2 linked regions of the Styela clava genome follow. The protein of the gene in region 2 interacts with the protein of the main gene of each other region in a biochemical or structural test. Links are inferred from orthologs where the notes say so. Each region holds a gene or a part of one and is shown on either strand. Other genes may lie near its edges.

Region 1 (10,239 bases), on a different chromosome or scaffold from region 2:
TGTTTCTGCCGAATCAATTTCCTCAAATATTTTGACCCACCTCTCTGGTATAGGAGTGGATTTGCAAAAACTTGTGGGGCAAGGCTATGATGGTGCAACGACAATGGCAGGTCACGTCAGCGGTGTGCAAAAACGCATTCGTGATAAATACCCGCGCGCAATATTTGTGCACTGCGCTTCTCATTGTTTGAATTTGGTCATAAATGACCAAAGTAAAGTTGCAATCATCAGAAGCACCTGTGATATCATTCGTGAGACTATTCGTTTTTTCAGGGAGAGCCCTAAAAGGCGCGCGGGTTTAGGAATTAACATCCCTTTGTTCTGCCCCACCAGATGGTCTGAGAAGTACAAGAGCATCCGAATCTTCAAATGCAACTTCAAACGAGTACTTGAGGCTCTTGATTCTTTGGCGAGAGATGCTAACAGTGAGACGCGGGCGAAGGCTTTTTCTCTGAAATCTGCTCTAGAAAAGTCGTCGGTTATCTACGCCGTATGTTTGATTGGTCGATATTCGGCACTAATGGAGCCACTAGCGCGCGCACTTCAGGCGGTCGGAGTCAGTGTGCCGTCAGTAAAGAACCTCACATCCTCTCTTCAGAGCGTTATCGCTGAAGAACGCAATGACTCTGAAATCGCATTGAATATTTACAAAGAAGCTTGTGAAATAGCTGGCTTGAAAGAGTTGACAATACCCAGAGTAGTCGAAGTACAAGTGTATCGCGACAATGTCTGTGCTGATTCAGCATCCCACTATTTTAAACGTTCCGTATATCTCCCATACGTCGACGGCTTGAGCTGCTCTATTCGGGAACGCTTCATTGAAAACCCATCATTTTTTTCATTGCTATCAATTCTTCCACCGAACAAACCAGTTCACGTGGATGAGGTAGAGCATCTGTATTTATTGGATAACCTCCAGAATGAAGTGAGACTGTGGAGAACTTCTTTAAGTTCCGACGTTAACGACAAATGTTTGGAGGGGCTTCTTTTGAGCGCTCGAGATTATCCAAGCGTGTACACCGCAATACAGATCGTTATGACGCTACCAGCAACCACCGTTGAGGCTGAGCGGTCTTTCTCCTGGATGAAACGGGTAAAGACATGGCTGCGCTCATCAATGACGTCCAATCGCCTTTCTGATTTGTGTGTGCTTCACTGTCACCGTGAAATGGTCACCGAGGAGAAAATTAATCGAGTTGTGTCGAGCATAGTTAGCGGGAAGCGAAGGATGTACTTTTAATCGGGGCGATGTATTTTACTTATTTAAATTGCGTTGTTAATATTTGTTGTTTCAAATAAAAAATTGTTTATTAATGGATTTTGTATTCACAAAAATCCAGCTGAGTAATTGAATCAGTTTGCTTGTTGACCAACTGTTGTTGTTTTGCGCTTGAAGAACGGGTGTTTTAAACCCAATATAATTTCTAAAATTTTCAAATTTGGCCCCCCCCAAAATTTTGGGCTGGCTACGCCACTGAACGTGCCGAATCAAACGATTGGATTGCACAACGCACTTGCGGATTTCTGGCAAAAACACAACTTTGCACGTACCTTTCGCTTACGCTAAAATTGATTGGTATGTTTTTTTTATTTTTTTTTTAATATTTGTTTCCTGTATTTCCATTGCTCCAATTTCAAATGATCGTATTGTGCGCCAATGTCGCATGAGTTTCACATCTTTTAGTTGGTAATTTGATAAAATTCGAATCACTAATACAAATATGCTAATTTGAATATGAAATACCATTAGGTGAATATGAAATACAATTAAAAATTCTATCAGATTTCAACGGATACGTAGTAACAACATTTTAGAGGTTTTGTTTTGAGGCAAAAACAACATAGACTGGGTAGAAAAATACAAACGGAAAAAAGACAGCGAATCGACGAGCCAGCCATAAATATATTATTTTTTATATTTACGAAGGCGATCAAAGCCGATACGACAGAGAATAATCAGAATAAATTTATTAGAAAATTTTAGCCGCAAATTCTTTCCTATTATTTTCCCCAACGATCGCATAATATCTTCCGAGTTTGTCAGAGCGAGCAGTTCTCGATGTCTCAATGATAGAGCACCCTCGCTATGGTTCCCATCGGAATTTGTAAATGTGGATTATAAATTGTTTTTGATTTTGTTGCTTCTTCACACACAAGTCGGGTTTACAATTAACGCACAATGAGTCCGCAATGATTTTCCCTGGTGAGAAAATAGTCGGCGACCAAAAAAAGATTGGGAAACACTGGATTAAAGACAATAGTCCAGTCATCCCAAAACTTCTTTATATGAACAGGTGAAAAATGCATTTTCAAACAAATCAATTATTAATTCAACATGCAGAAATAATCGACGAGTAAACAAAATCAACAAGAAAAAACTTCGTTCAAAAAGAGATGCCTGTATCTGTAGTACACTTATATAAATAAGAAACGGTAATTTAAAACTGTAATCAGTGCGATTTTAGCCTCAATATTGAGCCAGCGGAAAACTAGAGAGAGAAAAACATGGACATTCCCCCAACATGCTCCCAGTTCATGCTTTTTCTTAGTTTTAATATTTATAACCAAGGAGATGATTTAGGGCTATAGATAGCTTAGACATGGTTACACTTTTCAAAAATAGTGACGATGAAATAGTGTAATGAAAGACAAGCATCACACTTTAACAACTACAAATAACAGCATTATTCTCATTCAAAAATAGACATTTCAATAAAATATATAGGCCGAAGAAAATTTTGAAGTACGGTAATATTTTTTACATATAGAAAGTGTAGTAAACAGCAGCTGAAGTAAAGCAGAATTGCATTTAAAAATTGAGCTCTTAAAATATGTAAAGAAAATTTCTGATCATTGACTACAGGGTCCCAAACACAATCGAAAAAAATTTATCATTCAATACCAACAACATAACAAGAGAGTAAAGACAATCATATTGATGTAATAATATAAAGCAATGTGAAATTGCAATTTTACCTGGTTAATTTATTTTGAAAATTACTTTGTGTAAGTGAGTTCGATTTCAGTTTAATCAAATTGATACACTTATTTAATGGGATATGGTTGACCTAGTGACAAGTAAAGAGAATATCAACAAGTTTTGAGGTTTTTTGGCACACTCGCCAATTGCATAAAAAAAATGCCCTGCTAACTTTTAGTCATGGAAGGGGGGGTTCAAATATTTATACTTTATTTGCATGTCTTCTGATTTTCTTCCAAATTATGCCTTTGATGAATTTGAATGCGGAAGATGCAACAATGATCAAAAAATAGGATATTACATACATACATAGAACAGAAAAAAAAATTGTAACCCAGAAAGTATGATTCAAATATGGCACTTATGGCAGATATCATGATGAGAGGATTGCTAGAAATATCAACATGACATGAAACTATCTCGCTTAATATTTTTATACCGGTATTCCCTCGGTCAATTCTTGAACCACTTCTACTAGTAAATCCTCGTATCTAAGAGATCCACCAGTAGAAAACCACATACCGGTAGTTGAAAAATACTTTCGCATGTAATCCTAATTGAAGACAATCACCAATATGTTTGTCAGATAACAAATGGAATACCAGTAAATTAATTGTTGTGAATGTTAATTTGTTCAAACTCTTTTGAATAAATTCTTTTTTTTTTTCAATAGCCTATTTGAATTATGCCTAGCAAACCATGAGTTAAATAAAAGCAGTTAGTTGATAGTGTTCACAGAAATGCATCAGACCATTCCTTCAAACATGATGCACAATTAATAGCATCTCTATCTCTCATTTTAATTTCAGTTAGCAACCAATCTCTGAACATTTCTTCATCTTTCTTGAGCAACAAAAACTGTCCAAGAAGTACATATGCCTGTATTAAAAAGTGTAAATCATTTTAAAATGGAATGAAAAAGATCAAGTCACAATCCTGATAATAAAACAGAAATTTACCTCTTTATGACAACAAGACAAAATATATCCAAATATGAAAATAACTTTCGAAAAAATATTAAAAGATCATTATTATATGCCAAGTATTTGGGGAGGAAACACTGGAAAGCCAGGAAGTTCGAACTTTTCAAACAAGCATTTAGAGAATATAAACACTTTGATTACTAATATTTTATATAAAAACTGTTTTCAAAAATATGTACTATAATAATAAGAGTTCAAGAAAATAACTCATATTTACCAGGGGGGCCAAAAATGTACCTTGTTTATGGATAACAAGCAAAAACAGTAATAGAGGCACAGCAAGTTATTTAACAACACTTACTTTATCAAAACCTTTGTCACAAAGTTTTTGACCATATACTTTACCAATTCCAGCTACATCTGTAACACATTTGTCACCCATGGGCTCACCAACAAAATTTCTGTGCTTTTGAGAAGTTGAACTCATCGTGTTTCAATACCCCTGCCTAGCTTAGGGTCAATAATTAATTGATGGAACGTTGACTGAAATATGAAAATAATGTGAGTTATAGACTCTTGAATAGAATCAAAATAAAGTCAGCAATGTCTCCATAATTCTGCAAAAAACAAAAATATAAATAATTTCCCAAATACACTATTGTAAAATTTTTGAGATAATTATTCATTTCATTTAAAATATCACTACTGGAGAAAGATAACTTATTTCAAAATGCAAAAACCAGTTCAAGAATATTACTGATAATTCCAATACAAGGCGATTTATCCAGTTTGCGATCAACTTCGTTTTAGGTGCTATGAAAATCACTCACCCAACAATTTTTACAGAGTAAATTTAGACAGTCTAAAAATTCCCTTACATTATGAACCTAAAAATAAATTTGCCACGATAAGGATTAATCACTCAAATGCTACAGTAAATAATTTTTTTCTTTCTGTAAATTGGATAAATTTTTTCAGAAGAATTCAATAGCAGTATGGTGACGTTATTAGATTGCGATTCTTTTTAGTTTATTGCACAGTGCTGGTTTGCCAATATCATGCAATATGAAGGCCCAGACTGTCTCGTACACTGGTAACGTTACAGGAGGATCTGCCCTCGACGATATAGGCTAATTGATGTCTTTTCATTTGGGGCTATTCATGAAATCACCGAAAAGTCCATACTAATAGAAGTATTCAATGCAACTTGCATACTTATTCGAGAAAGGTTGGTAGCATACGGTACTGCAAAGTCATATTACTGTATTGAGGGATGGCGAAATTCGATACCAGTCAGCCATCAGCCTGGTACCGGTACCGGTATACAATACAACTTTATTCTGTTATTACATTTTTTGTCTACACCACCATAACACAAATTGAATAAACAATACAGAAAAACAACACTGCCAGACTAGTACCGTGCGGGTACCTGTACCGTAATGCTGCAATTTTCCAGTTTGTTCGACTGAACAGCACGTTCCCCACCTAAACACACAAAAAGCTGATTTACACCAATGTTATGTTTTACTACTGTAATAAGTTAGGACCTTAAATATCTCTTCGCAAAACTCATTTCAGTACCGTTTTTTTTTTTTTTTTTTTTTTAAAGGTCCACGTTGTGGATTCATAACAGTTTTGTAAAAATAAATAAATGATGAAAAAATAATATCAGTACCGTTTTTATTTCACAATTTACAGTTTGGCCACTTCTGCGCTAAACAAAGTAAAAGTTTGGCGCGGCAATCTTTCCCTTTCAGTCATTCGATCGCCCTCCAATGGAGTATATAAATACTAAAAATTGATGTTTTTGCGGTTTCCTCGTTTGACACGAACTTACCTATTATGGTCCATGGATCGTTTTTAAACACGAAATATACGGCGAGAGCACATTTGCACTTGTAAACTGCACCCAGGACATTTGGAATTGTGTATTATTTCTGTCGTAATTTTTGATTGTTATATTTTTAACTGGTTGGAAAAAATAAACTTGACTTGACACCCACATTTGCACTCTTACATTTCCACCCACAGAATTTAGCACCCACAAATAGATTGCTCACGCTTACATTTGCACCCACAGACATTTGCACCTGTGGATACTTGCATACAAGTACATTTGCACTCATGTACATTTTCACTCACGTACATTTGCAGCCACAGACATTTGCACCCATGTAAATTTGCAACAATGTACATTTGCATCCACAGAAATTTGCACTCAAATACATTTGCACCCACGTAAATTTGCACTCGTATACATTTGCACCCATGTACATTTTCACCACAATGAAGCTTTTTTTACTTCAAAGACTAGTGTCCAGTCTAGTGTGGTGTAATATTCATGGGTGCGAATATCCGTCGGTACAAATGCCCGTGGCTGCAATTGTACGTGATTGCCAATGCTTGCGGTTGCAATGTCTGCGATTGTAAATGTGCGTGAGTGCGAATGTGCGTGGTGCAAATTTACTTGTGTGCAAATGTTCATGGGTGCAATCTGTATGTAGGTACAACTGTTCTGGGTGCAGTTCAAGGGTGCAAATGTACATGTGTGCAAAGATAATGGAACCATCAAATATCTCAATAGTCATTTTTCTCCGAGTAGTTTTAGTTTGGTTGCAGTAATTGAAAAATTCATCATTTTGAAACAAAATGGTAGGTCTGAGAGCACCGAGTTGGAATAAAAGATTAGTGAAAATCATTAGCTTACGGAAGTGATCGAGCAATACGAAATGAAAAAGTGCTTTTTTATTTAAATATAAGAAGAGCAGCTTCTATGTAAACGTAAAGTATCGTGTCTCATAGCACCAAAGGAGAATTAAAAATGTTATAGCTTTCTAGCGATTTCTTCCAGAGGTGCAGTAATACAAACAACACCCCAGATAGCACAACTACGTCGGAACAACCATGGCCGAACGTTGTTCGAACCACCGGCCCAATAATGGCGAACAACCATGTTCCAGCGAAGATTTGGCCGCTGGGCCAACGTCGGTCCTTTCGCTGTAATGCAACCGTGGCAAACGGTCGGGCCAACGTAGGCGATACGTTGTAACACAATCGTGAAATTTGGCCGGGCCTACGTAGGCGACACGTTGTAATACAATCGTGGCATATGGTCGGGCCGAGTTAGGCGATGTGTTGTACAGACAGGGTATGGATCTATACATAGAAATTTCCCACTAATCTAACATTATTTAAATAATTAAAATACAAAAGATAGCAAAATGTCTTTATTTTACAAATATGTATACATGTAATAAAATTAATCGGAGTTCGTTGCCGGATCATCCAGAGCTGAAAAATATAAAAATTCTGTGTTAAATTGCAGTATTAGCAAATTACAGCACCAGAGTTCAAAGCCTAGTCTGAATGACTGCATCCCAACAAATTTTCAGAGTAGGAATCTTAAGCCAAGATTCTGCAGTCGCAAATGTGTGAGTGAAGCTTACATTGACAAGACGATAATAATTGAGAAATACAGAAATTCTTGATTCCGCAAGGGGGGCGTAGACAACGTTTTGAGGGGAATATTTGTTGGAGGGAATAATGATGATTTGCGATTTTATCTGACTAAAATGTCTTGAAATATTCCTTGTTGAAATTCATCTATCTTATTAGAAACATCATGCACCATGATTAGTCTATTTGTTTAATTGATTTACAATAAATTTAGTTGTAACTTCATCATTTGCTGTTGCGATGATACAAATAAGTTCCAAAACCACTGTTCGCCATTATGCACCAAACTCTGGCAACATTGGATTGGCAATTTGGCACTTGACTCTAATCATAATCAGCTTGGCGATATCTCCTTAATAAATATTTTTCTATATTGTTCACTTTTGTATACAAAATCTACATTCAATTTCTTTACTGTTCACAGTTGTTTACAAAATCCATATTCAATTTAACAATCATAATGATAAAAATGAATGGTGTGGCAACTGGCAAGTACATTTTGTTTACTAGTCCGTTTATTAGTTTAATATACCCAACTTATCTAAATTTTCTCGCCTGTTTTTATTTTATTATATCTCTGTTGTTGTTGTGTGTGTGTAACTTAATTTAATTCATGGAAACGATAGGCATCTTTTTGGCAAAACCTTATATTCTTTACGCTTTAATCTTAATTAAGGTTTTGTTTTCACTCCAGATTGTCAGATTCTATTTAATCAATTTTTGTTCATTTCCCTTATGAATTATCTTAAGCTGATTTGGAGTCAAAATAATCTTATACTTTTAAAATGGAAGAGGGTAGAGCAGAGAAAGATGGTGGAACAATATGATGAACATATTACATACCTTTAATAGCAGAAACTAAGGGCGTCCCACTCACTCCTTCTTATCCACCGCATCCTGCACAGTTGAAAGAGCGGGCGAGTAAATTTGTTATAATTGAGCTCATGATTCTCCAATCCAGTCTTTCTTGGAGCAACCTCCGAGACTTGACAAATATCCTATCTGGAATGAGTAAATAAGCACAATTATGAGAATACATTTAATGAAAAGGTTTCCATCCGTTGCAAAAGCTCTATGTTAATTACCGCGAGTATCTACTCGAAAATATACACATATGTGTTTTGTCCACATCGCGTTCGTATAAAAGTGAACAATTTTAATAATGCAATCGGATCGTATTTAGACATTTAAATAATCTTCCTTGAACACGAAGCGAAAATATGGGGCATATTGTATTTCATACATAATTTCGAAGCGCTTCATGCAGTCAAAAACAAAACGACAAAAAATAAAAAGGCACTCAATAAGATGAGACCCAGCAAAGGTATTTTCACCTATTTTACTTTCATGTTCTGTTTAGCTTTCGAATTAATTATGGAGTAATCTGCAATATTTTAACATTGTACTAAAACTAAACAAATATTCTGAATCTCAGAGATTTTTACATCGTGGTCTTCATACGATGGCATGTGTTACCGGTCAGCGAACTCTTTTAAATTAATTTTGCTTGCCCGCTGGGGTAAAAAGGTTGGGAACCACTGAACTAAACAGTTAAGTACAACCACGTTACACCAACGCCCTGCAAACTTACAGTCGATTTTCATCAGAATGATTAAATAGAATATTCAGAATAGAATAAATTGATTTTTAATGTTTTTTCGTTGTGGGGTCGCAAGTATCTGTAGTCTGTGATTTTACAAAAATTGGGGTCGCGGAAAAAAAAGTTTGGGAACCACCGCCGTAAAGTGTCCGTAATCAGCCTATAAAAATATTCAACTTACGAGCCATTTTTTCATCCTTGAATGTATTCTGGATCAAAATGTAATCAGACAATGAATTTCATCAATTCCGGTATGTCCGAGTCCACACTATATTCAGTGGAAAATTGCAGATGCCGTAGCTTGTAGCATAAGAGTTTCTACCGCCTGTCCCAACAATTTTTCCATGGACTGGATTGAAGCATGGCTTGATCTCTGAAAATCAAGTTAGTGTTACCCAATGTATAGTACATGATTGTCTTTCAGATGATAAACGTGAACGAATGGCCTATACTAATTACCAGAATATAAATTTTTCATTAATATTAATTACCGTATTTTCCGGCGAATAAGTCTACCCGGCGAATAAGACGAGGCCTGTTTTTAAGCCTGAAAAAATGGGTTTTTGCATATAACCGGTTAATAAGTCGGGGTAGTAAAATCGCATCAACGTCGGGAATCTTAAATTACCATGCAATGCCTTTCGAGCAGTCGCCGCGTTTGCGCATTGGTTAAAATAGCCTATAATGACTTTTTCTTGTAGCGTAATATTCAATCCATATATGATAATGCAAATATGATAATCACAGCATTGAAATTCCAGATTCACAGCACGAGAATGTCGATTTATTTAAACTAACCAGAGGAGGACGTGGGGGATGCTATCGCCGAAGGTGTTTCATTGTCCGGATTCAATAATAAGGCGACAAAAAAATGAAAATGATCATACTCGCCTAATAAGACGAACCCCCCCCCCCCCAAAATTTGGGTCTAGAAAAGCGACTTACTCGTCGGAAAATACGGTATTAACCACATGATGTTGTACTAGGTAATTATTCAACCGATATATCTAGCTATTGTGCAATATTTTATGGCACAGATATGCAAGGAGCTACTATCAAACTATAAAACAAAAACACCTGTTTTGGGCATTGTCCGCATTGAAACACTGAGATGCTTGAAATGACACAGTGTATGATTGCGTGAAAGAATTGAAGCAGGTGAATTTTCCAGTCCATTGTCATAGGGCCTATTACTGTATTATAAAAATGGTATATATCATTAAACTTACAATGGTAATATTGACACTTGACAGAATATCTAATCGGTAATAATTATT
Region 2 (11,701 bases):
GATTTGCGAGCTGTCCTTCCAAAACAATCTTATTGGATACGAAGTGGACCTATGGATCGTTTTGTTATTCTCTTAAACTACGGGACCAAATGCTTTGAAAGTTTCAGTAGTTAAAGATTGCATTTTTCGTTTTTTTTTTTGTGTGGGATGACGTCATCATCACCAAAATTACCCTCCTTGTGGCGATGCCGCCTTCGTATTAGCAATCTTGTGGTCAGGCGAAGTTGTGAACATTGCGATATTGATAGGCTACTGTGACAGAATAAATACCCATACTATATTTATGACTGTAAAATTTGACAATTAATTCATACATAAAATTGGTAAAAATAACCATGGTGGGAGCAGAATAAAACCATGCCTAATCTTGACCACATAAATACTACTGTTCCTCAAAAAGTTAAATCTTTTCCAATTAAAAAAAAAAATAAACAAACCTGGATGTTTCCCAGAGTACTTCCCACTCAAAGTATCTTCTTTACCCAAAACACTCTTGGTATGCAATGGTGCCATGGAATAGCGAGATTTAGCGATTGAGGAACTGAAAAACAATAGATTTTTAATGTAAAAACAATCACTACGTAATGCATCAAATTAATTTTTATTTTAGTTTTACATACCTCTTAGAACTGCTTGCAATTTTCGTTGGAGATTTGATCAATGAATTTTTAGGATTTTTGCTTATTCTTGGACTACGTCTTGGGCTGGTAGTGTCAAAAGTTGAATCAACAACCTTTACATCTTCATCCGAGTTCTCTGAAGGCGTAGTTGTGAAATCATTTTCGTCATGTTTGATTATTTTTTGTGTCTGTTTTTTTAATTGTTTTTTTGAATTCCTCTTAATTGTCTTTTTTGGGGGTGAAACTTCTGCGCTGTCTGCTTCCTCATCTGCAGAAGAGTCATCATTAATAACAACATTTTCATCAGAAGAACTTGATAAAACAGTCTTTTTAGTTACTTTTTGTGGACGTTTCCTTGCCGAGGTAGAAGTTTTAGTCAGCTTTCTGGACTTAGGTGCAACTTTCGGAGATGGTTCGCTAGGAGTGGATGAATTTATGTTCATTGCATCGTCCTCTGATGAGCTCGTAGTGTATTGTTTTCTCTTGGCTGGCGTACGTTTAGGACGTTTGTTGGGTAAATCATCTTCTTCCGACTGTGAGCTCTAACAGATTTGAGATTAATATTTTTTGTCGTAAGTCCATGCATTTCAAAAAGGAAAAAATCAACACCATCATGTTTTCAATTCTTATTAATTATCTTACCTTTGCTCGTGATTGTGTTGTTCGCTTCTTTTTGGCTGGTGTTGGCGTCTCATCATTTTCAAAAGTTATTTTTGCTTTGAGTGAAACTCCCATTGATTTAAGGGCATCTTGAAAGTATTTTTTCAACACAGAATAATCTGGTTCATCTTCATAATCCATCTTTGAAACGTATTGAAGAAACTTTTCGATTTCAACAGCTGTTAGAAATGGTCATATATATATAATTACTAGATAGCATGAAAAAAATAATGAAATGCAATGAAATCAAAAGTATTTTATTATATGATCATCATGTCCATACGAATTGATAATTAGATTTATTATTCTAAATCCGTGGTTCCCAAAGTTGATAAACCGCAGGCCAAAATTAGAAGCTGAAGGATATTTGCGGGCCAGGAGAGGAGAGTGCACGCAGGGGGTCGATACCAGTGCCTGTACCTATAATTGAGATACTGAACTGAATCGTTACGAATATGCTCATGCTTAAACTGTTATAATGATGTAACAATTGGTGGTATCTAGAAAACAAAGTGTTAAACTATGACACTCAAGTTTGGAGGGCCATATTAAATCGTTACGCGAGCCCTAATTGGCCAGTTTGGGAACCACTGTTCTAAATTCCTGAGTCTAGGAAGGAATATTCAGAATAGTTTCAGAAGTTTATCATTTTGATTTTTGAGCAAATAAAGTTTCAGAGTGTGAACAAAAAGGCCTTCATTCAAGTTATGAAAACTGTGAAAATGGAAGACCAATCTGATCTTACTTCCATGCATTTTCAAATCCAAACTCATTGAATATGCCCAATGGGTATGAGTCAGTTTAGAATATATTTGGCAATTGGCATAATAGATCATTTGTTATTTGCCTCACTAAGGCTGATATTGATAGATGCCGACAATATCTGATTGCTGTTTTCAAATTTTCTAAATGAAGGTACATCACAAAAGCTGTAATGGTAAAGTTATAATTTTCTTTCACTAAATTCTAATATCAGGTGAACAAATGTTAATTTGAGAAACTTTATTAAAAAGTCATTGCAATTGGACATACCTTTCTTTGATTTTGCCTCTGGATAGACTGATAAAACAAATTGTTTTACATTATCCATATGTTTTATTTTTTCATCTCTCACGTAGTTCTTGTTGGTTAGATTATCTTCCCAAGGTAATTTTCCAGACACCCAGTGCAGTAAAACATATCCAAGTATTTCTAGATCTGATCGTCTTGAGGGAGCTGAAACGATAACACAGTTTGTCTTATATCATTTACCATCTCTAATCATTCTCAGATGCATGCTTTGAAATCTGGGAAAATGTACACTTGACGACCCTGGCACCGGGATGACAAGAAAATTTTACTCTGTCTCCAGACCGCACGTTCTACTAAATTTTGACTCAATCAAATTCAATTTTCAGTTCAAAAACCCTGGCATTCACAAGCCTTTTATTAACTGCTGTGAAACTTCCTGTTTGAAATTTGACTTCAATTATCTCCAAAAAAAGTCTGAAAGTCACATCCGATTTTGACACCGAAGAAATATAAATTTAAACTCTCCTGACTTGGAAGAGTTTGGAAATATGTATCAGCTGTTGACTCCAATATCAAATCTGTTTCCACAGTCCTCATTCAATATAGAAGAATGCTTATAAAATTTGAAATCACTTCCACGAGTAAAAGAATTATATATATATATAAACATAAAGATATTGATACTGCCTCTCTTACCAACACCTCTGTGTGCATCTCTGCTTGTATATTCAATGGTTCCATCATGAGCTTTTCTAGGATCTTCCAAATATGGTTTGTGTTTTCCATCAACAATATATCGAAAAGCAAGACCAAAATCTACTAAATATATCTGAAATGGAACAATAATTAACAAATTAGCTGGTTATGGTGATTGCCAATATAGAGAAGAAATATTAAACCATCCCAAACCTGATTTTGATCTTTATGCCCAACTAAAATATTTGCACCTTTCACATCTGCGTGTACATATTCATTTTCATGCATATATTGCAACGAATTCAGCTGTGAGATATAAAGACAAATAAATAATTCTATTGTTAAAGATCATCAAAAAAGGCTACAGCATCCAGTTCAGTATTCAAATGTCAAATGTTTTTCATACGGGGAACCACATTGGTAATTCCTGGCTAATTAATTTCTTTGTGTAATGTTTAAATTAATTTATCTTATTTATAACATTGAAGCTGTAAGGGCTTAGGCAATTTAGTAATTTCAACACGTTCAGTTGAAAATCATGCTTTTGAAGGTTAATTTCCATTAAAAAAAACTGTGCCACCTAAAATATTCAATAGCTGTGATATCAGGCATGCAAAACAAGTAAAAGAAAAGTACGAACTATTCACTCAATGCATCAGAAAGAATTCATCTTACGAACCAGTTCAATAGCAAGTTGACAGACAGTAACACGAGAAAACTTTTTATCAGCTTTAAGCCAAAGATTGTGTAGATCACATCCATATCTTGGCATTACCATAAACCTTAGATTCTCCTTTCCATTTGCATGTAATCCGTGGGCAACATAAGCTGGGATTCCTACGTACGATAGGCGTGCTTTGTTTTTCCAAGTAGTCACTGTTGAACGTAAATAGGATCAGAAGCAGACAGAGATGATATTCACTTAAATATAATTTTTTTCAAAACACACAATTAACACAAATTTTAAATACAAATTAACCCCTTCAAAACGACACATGCCCCCAAAGTCTCTCTGCAATTTAAAATTTATTGCAAGATAAATTGTGAAAAGACTTTATGGACACCATGTATTACGGATACTTACAGGACTCTTGCCTAGCAGCTCTCTGATAAAATGCTACCTCACAATACAAAGGACCATTGCCGTGAGGTTCCTGGAAAATTGAGATACACACATATAAAACTAACCCTCAAAACAGTAAGGAATATTAAATATTGAACAGTTGATAATGATTAGGTACCAATAAAAACCGCCAATAATTTATATTTATAATTTTGCAATAAATGAAACTTGAATTCGCTGAATCACACAAAGCATACTTTTCCTTCAAAACTATCACCCGAAAGCTGTGTATTAGATGAGTTTGAGCACTTTACCCAAATCAGCGTGGTTCACTCCATTCCATGGCAAATTAGGTTATCATGATACCAGAAGGGACGCTTTTGGCAATACTTAGGTTTATTAATCAAATTTAAGTAAGGTAAAATTCCACATACCACTTTTATCACATAGTTTGCTTTATCTTTTCCGATACATTTTTTGTCTTCATCAGCTGTATAAAAGAAAACATCAATCAATTAGTACTTGTATGTCAATATGAAATAACAAATTCAATTGCTTAAATTAAATATTTGGACATATTGTAATCAACAGATGGAAACTTCCTAATTTAATTCAAATCACATAGAAACAAATATTACAAGAAACTTTTCTGTTGTTTAAAAAACTTAATTATTTTCAAACAGCAGGGCCTTTACACTGTAACAAATGCGAAATTAATTAAGCTTTTTCATGTAATTTACTCAATTTTCGAACAGAGCATGTAAAAAAGAGAAAATTACATCATTTCGAATAACGTTTGACAAATAATATTATTTTTTTCATCAATACTAACATTTCGCCATTTTTTTCCACGTATAGATTATAATGATATTATTACCTAAGTAAATGAGTCCAAATCCTCCAGAACCAATTGGTTCTCCAAGATACCATAACTTTTTTCTCAAATCTTTTAATTCAGTTCCTTTTGCTATTGTTGTTGCAAGTTGGTAGTTTGTTGCAGCTTTACCACGGCCTTTACCTTTTGCAGGCATGGTGGTATTCTATCGATTATTATTTATTCCTTTCTTATATAGCATACATTAGTAAGTATTATTGAAGTTAACTAATTTAAATATAAATAACAATTGTTAACACAAAAAGTTTTGTCAGATAATTAAAGAAAATTCCCACATTGTCACACACAAGTGAAATATTGCACAATGTAAGACAACGTTGGGCTGTTTATATATCTAATCACTTGTAATTTACGAACATAATGGTGGCAGAAAATTGCACTAATATGATAAAATAAAAACAATCTTTAATTTTCATATATATTGAATACTAATTCTCATTTATTTATTTCTCCAATAGCTATGGACGGTGTATGTCAAGGCGTTGTGCTCTACAAAACTATCATAAAAATATAGTAAAATAAGTAGATTCAAGTATAAAATTATGTTACTCATAAAATCAACACAAATAATTTGAATTACACCTGCCAATACTTCGGCACAAAACTGTCTAGGATTTATAATGGTTATTTCAGATGAGTATCATACATTTTTTGATGAGTTTTTGTGACCTCGGTACCCACTTATTAAGTTCACAATCGCAATTAAGAATGACAAGTCAAAAACATAACACTGATATTTTAATTAAATTAAAAGAATTCAATAATAGTTAAAGAGAAGCTTGACAGTTGTGCCAGAAGTCACCCTCCTTTAGGCCAACTTTGTTTTCTTTCAGCAGTTTCCTCAGATGATTGTTAACATTGATATCAGCTGGGCCATAAAGATGTTCTGGTATATCGTATATAATTTTCACAATGTCAAGGCTTTTGAGGGGCCCAGACGAATCTTTCAGAGCTGATATTATTTGGCTTTCCCTTTCATTCCTGTGGCTGATGTAATATTGAACATATTCTATTGGATTCTCAAGAACTGGGCCATGACCGGGGTATATTTTTCCAGGTTTAAGACTCAAAATGAAATCGAGAGACTTCATGTAGTCATAAAGATCTTCAAAAACAGCAGTGCCTTCACCGAGCACACAATCACCAGAAAACACATTATTTTCCTCAATTAACTGAAGTATAATATGGTCATCTGTATGGCCAGGTGTATGGTATACTTTCAATGTTGCACCTTCTGTATTTATTGTTGAAGCATTTTCAACAAAAGAATATTTAGAATCAGTGTTTGGAGGTGTTTCACTTTCCCAGCCATCAATACCTCGCCCGAATTTATATAGCGGAACATTTTGTCCACTAGAAATAACATCCCTTTCAATGTCAGCTATACCCCCGATATGATCCATATGATAATGAGTAAGAACAATTCCTTCAATACTGACGTTAAATTTTTTCAAAGTAGACTTCAAATTTGAAATGTAATCAGGCACACTTGGATTACCAGTATCGATTAAAATACGTTTTCTGCCAGTGCCAACAATGTAAGTGTTTGTGCCCTGTAAAGTCATTGGAGACGGATTGCATCCCAGAACACGAATTACTCTGCTTGACAGTTGCTCAATCTTAGGTATGACTGAAGACATTTTTTATTATCTTTTATACAGTATGATTCTGTTTTACCATATACAGTAATATTTGTATACCTTAAATGAAAAAGAAGAATTACCCGATAACAGAAATATGGTAAATTGGTAATTAATCATCCATATCTACATATTGCTGTATTGTATTCAATGTATTGGTTGTAATATTTAAGGTCATATAAAATATAATAACACTTGGGCTTTGCAGTTTCGTGTGGAAATCATATAAAATTTCAAAATATTCAACTGATTCCCAAATTTAAAATCTTTTTTAAAAATTGTAACATATATGTTAGCTGCTTGTGTATAAATTTAAAAACTTGGATCAATATATAAGAGACAAGAGGTCAGGAGGCGGATTAATATAACCTTATGGTGCCCTAATCCCTTAGATATACACTAACAAAATAAAAACAGAAAACTGGTTATTCTATTGGCAGACTGGCATTTCTGTTTAAACAATAAACCGAGTCATATATCAGTATAATGTATATACAGATATAAAGTACTTTTGAGCTTATATTTTTTTCTATCAGTAATATCTGAATATTTCCACTATAAGCAAAGGTCTAAGACCTTGCTTGAATCAAGCTCATATTGCAGTACCGGTACTGTCTTATAAAACATAACCATGAGGCTGTGAGGCAGTAAGGAAATGAACTGAACGACATTTCACACCATCCTCTTTTTCGGAATTTGTTACAAGTGAACATGTCACTGTTTTTTGAGAACGTTGAATTTACCGCGGCCTGTCCGACCGCTAGCAAATTACAAAATTATAGATATGTAAATCTGTCCGGCCTCTAGCAAATTACAAAATTATAGATGGGTAAAATACTAAAATACCCGGTACTGGTACCGTACCGGTATAGGCCATAAGAATGAGTTAAAATAACTTGACCCCTTTGCGGCTGTGGCTTCAGTTGACGACTGCACGGATATAATGTAAACAGACTCATACAGACGATTTATGACAGTTTTAAAAAAAATGTAACTAGGTGCCGAGTCGACAGCTCCTTGCTTCTGTGCTTTGTATCGCTGATACAGACGGATTTGCACCATTTGGCGCCGAAAACCAGTGACGCATAGCTCGTTTATCACCGATCATTTGAAACCAGGGGTACATAAATGAATATCGGTAACTTAATGGAATATTAACGAAAAAATTAATTTAAAAACAAGAGGGTGGTACTACTAACATTAAAGGGTAAAATAAATATGTTATATAAAGGCTACTATAAAAACTTCCATCCGCTATTTCATTCATATTACTGTATCATCTCAACGACTAGTTTCGATTATACTTTTGAAAAAAATGACAAAAGTTTTGGCAATTGCTACGTATTTGTCACGTGGTTCTGTCTGCTTTAAGCAGTCGGTCGCCTTGGTGACGTATTCTGTGTTATTGTTTAATGGAAATCCCCTCACTGCCTTGCATGTTGTTTATGTATCCAATGGTGCAATATGAGTAAAATTTGTACACAATATCATGTATTCATTTACTGTGCCGTAATAACTGTAATGAGGTTAGGTATACAATAGATGAGGTATAATGGCAGGGTTGCCTTTACTTATTCCCGTCAAATTCATTTCTTTTTTTGCTTGTCCAGCGCTCTTATGAATGAAGTTGATGTAGCTAATACATAGTTTGACATATTAAAAGTCCAAAATAGACAATAAATAATAGTGTTGAAGCTAGTCATATTTGACATCATAATTGTAGATTTTTTTATGTGAACAATAGGCATATGATTGTAACTATCTACTGTTCCTTCATCTCAGTATTTGTGTAGTAGGTAGTACACCAAAATTGATGGTATCGTGGATTGAAGACCTTGCTTTAAGCCAGGTCCCCACACAATGTGGAATGAAGAAGGTAGGCAATAGCGAAAATGAAACGATTCTGATCTTTGCAAAAATAGTAGTATTTACATTTCATTGGATTCTTCTTCTTTGTTTTCAATGATGAAATTTTGTTTTGATCAGTCCGATTAAAATGTTTTGCCCAAGCTTGCTTTTCTTTATATGCTGTTATATATATATGAATATATTCAGTTGATTTATTGATATATCCAGCTAGCTTTGCTTATTATTTGTTGGTAATGTTTGTTGTATCTTGTTTTATCAATCGAACGCCAAAAAATATATTTTCCAATTTCAAGAAAATATTTATATAGATAGATCATGCTATTTTCTTCTATTTAATTATTAACTTCTTCATATAAAAAAAAATTACAAGTTTTTGGAACATTAAATGTCTATAATCAATATTTGTTCTTGCCCATCAAGTTTTATTTGCTTTGGATTGTAAGACTTAAGAATCCTGTAATGTCTGTAAATCATGAATGTTTACAAAGTTTCAATTTTCTGTTTGCATTTTAACTTCATTTCAATTTTTCAATGTATTTAAACAGAATGTGGCAAGCTAGTATTTTTTATGATATATTTACAACATCTGTGATAAAGATCAGAAATGTTTTATGAATCAGTATTTACTGTTTAAATTTCTTTCAAACTTTTTTACAATTGGTTTATTTGTTTCAACTTTGATAGACAATGTCACAACTCATTCAAATACGAAGTTATACTAGATCAAGTTCTGTTGGAAAAAAGGTTCAACATAGAATACTTAAAACAGTTGGAGCGAGCAATTAACTACACTTTCATTGACATTGAAACTTCTTCAAGTGGAGCTGTTGGAAAGCAAGTTCATATTCGCAGCATTTTTTATGTTATATTCATTGTTTCAACCAAGACATTCTTAAAAAGTTGAAAAACATAATTTTTTTTATGATACGTTTTCACTTAAATTAAAGCTCTACAAGTCACAACTACCTGTATGTACAGAACTACTATTTTAGAAAGATGTCAGATTTTGAGGTTGTTATGCCAACATAGTGAAAGCGATTTAATGCCATTTGCTTTCGCTTGTTGCGGCCTTCTCATTTTATTAAAATCTTTCTCTGAGATTCACTTGTGAACTGATCCACTTTATGTTGCATCTTTAAGGTTCATCCTATCTTGTTTTTCTTTTCAACAGTTTATATGGCTCAGTTCAGGATTTATTGAATAATTTGGATCAGATTGAGATTTGCACTATGGACAAATATTCGGGACTTCCAAACTGGGTCCAGAAATCTAAAAAGTCTTTGAAACAAACTCAGGTCAGTATGCGCCGAATCAAGTTTTCTCGCTTCAATTGTGATTAAACTACTCAAACCACTTTTACAATATCTTGGAAACTATATTTTCTCAATCTTGTTTACACTCTTCATTGACAGGAATGGCAAACCTATATGATGAAGTTATATGATCTTGTTCATCATCAAATGCATGAAATGGGAGTCAGTTCATTTAATGATTTAGCACCACCAGAAAGGAATCTCCTACTACAAAGGGCATTTCAAGCACTGAAAAAAGGTATTCAATCATCTTTGTTTGCAACACTGGTTGTCAGCTATCATTTTTTCAAACTAATCCCATCAGGAAGATACAATTATATAGTATTACTAAGTTTTAAGTTGAGTTTTCAGGTGAAAGTGAATCTCATTTTTTCAAGGCTGGTCAACAATCTATCTCTATTAATTTTTATCTCGCATTGAATTTATTTGTTATTTATTCTTTCAAATAACTATGTTTCGGAATGATTAATAATATCTATTTCAATTAGGTATATTGCTTCATTCATGTCAGTAAATTGTCCATTGGCAGATAAAAAACCATTGATAAAAATGGCAGATCAAATTCTTTTCGAATTGCTATCTTTAAATCTGGGTGCTAAATTCCACAGTTTTAGAATATTATTGAATAATAATAAAATAAAATTTTAATTATACCTCTTTCAGGTGAAGCATATTTTCAACTTCTTCAAGCTGCATCAGAATCATTAGATGAGAATATTAGCCAAGAAGCAAACAAACTATCAACAACCAAACAACAGAATAAAACAAAGATGGAAATATTGCAAGATGAATGCCATAAGGCTGTTGTAAGTTCTAACAATATATTCTAGTTGAAACAATGTTGATGGTTGTTCTCTGCAGGACTGTGAAGTATAGCAAAATTTATAGATTCCTGATTAAAGAAAATGACTCCTACTTGGCTCATGGAAATGGGAATTCTAACTCTGACTCGAGCTCTAAAGCCCCCAAAACAACATTAAGACCAGTGGTTGGCAAACTTTATGTACTACTGGGCTAAATGTGCATATTGACGGTAGCATGCAGGCAGTAGACCCTAAAGCAGGGGTCGGGAACCCATGGCTCGCGAGCCATATATGGCTCTTTTGGTGACGGCATATGGCTCCCAGAAAAATCTAATATTCTAAGACTAAGCTTAGGCTACTATTGTTACGAGATTTCAAACACCTTTATAGCCAATTTTGGCAGGAAATTCCCAATACGTTTGAGAACGCGCGCCCAGCACATGTCTATGTTATGTAAGATAATCACCAGACAGGCATTGTGACAAACAAGGGGAGTCTGGAACATATATTGTGACATCACAAAGCGATATAGTTTTAAAAACACTACGGAGATGCCTAAACGAAAAAGGGTGATGAGTATTGTAGATTTCAACTTGGGCTGCATGTGAGCAACCGTTCAAGGCCCGCAGCGACTACATGCAGCATCAGAAATCACAATAAATGTATATTGACATTGTATGTGTTGACTTTTGAGTAAACATTTCAGGCCTGATTAAGTGAAGAAATGTTATATGGCTTGCACGGAAATGCAATTGAAAATATGTATATTTTATGGCTCTCTTGACCAAAAAGGTTCCCGACCCCTGCCCTAAAGACTTTGGTGTATGCTAGCGTTTTTAAATTGTCTTTCGAAAGCTTAGTCAACTTTTTGGTTGAATTTCTGTCAGAAATCTTGACTATGATTATCATCATTAGAAATTGGAAGAGTTAATACCATTCCAACCTTGGTGAGTTTGAACATATCGACACCTCAAAACCAAACAGTGCTAAGTACACTTTTCCAAAAAATGACATTTTTCAATTGCTGATTTTCCTGGACTTAGCTCTACATTTGGGTCTATTTGCCTTATCTCTAGGTGCTCTAGATCTCAAGACAGCTATGGACATAACCCTGCTTTTTTTAGGGCATTT

What was found.
Region 1: of the proteins of serine/threonine-protein kinase VRK1-like (region 2) and barrier-to-autointegration factor B-like, one has a biochemical effect on the other in vitro, tested with the Caenorhabditis elegans proteins (2 studies listed by BioGRID). The link is inferred for Styela clava from reciprocal best matches to the Caenorhabditis elegans genes vrk-1 and baf-1.

The regions. Positions count from the first base shown.
Region 1 is NC_135251.1:13,960,513-13,970,751, reverse strand, and holds barrier-to-autointegration factor B-like, read right to left. Parts: upstream 4,472-10,239; 5' UTR 4,391-4,471; coding exon 4,265-4,390; intron 3,860-4,264; coding exon 3,713-3,859; 3' UTR 2,303-3,712; downstream 1-2,302. Other genes in the region: zinc finger MYM-type protein 1-like, read left to right, coding at 1-1,240. UniProt on the Caenorhabditis elegans protein: DNA-binding protein which plays an essential role in nuclear envelope formation. Required for normal chromosome segregation during mitosis. Associates with the nuclear lamina via its interaction with LEM domain containing proteins emr-1 and lem-2.
Region 2 is NC_135253.1:16,538,483-16,550,183, forward strand, and holds the start of serine/threonine-protein kinase VRK1-like, read right to left. Parts: upstream 5,173-11,701; 5' UTR 5,082-5,172; coding exon 4,928-5,081; intron 4,541-4,927; coding exon 4,485-4,540; intron 4,142-4,484; coding exon 4,072-4,141; intron 3,864-4,071; coding exon 3,667-3,863; intron 3,294-3,666; coding exon 3,201-3,293; intron 3,121-3,200; coding exon 2,988-3,120; intron 2,496-2,987; coding exon 2,313-2,495; intron 1,460-2,312; coding exon 1,263-1,459; intron 1,163-1,262; coding exon 621-1,162; intron 542-620; coding exon 438-541; intron 1-437. Other genes in the region: endoribonuclease LACTB2-like, read right to left, coding at 5,713-6,585; uncharacterized protein LOC120327175, read left to right, coding at 9,684-9,749, 9,867-10,005, 10,431-10,573. UniProt on the Caenorhabditis elegans protein: Serine/threonine kinase that phosphorylates baf-1, thus regulating the association of baf-1 with chromatin and nuclear membrane proteins during nuclear envelope formation. May act through the egl-17 signaling pathway.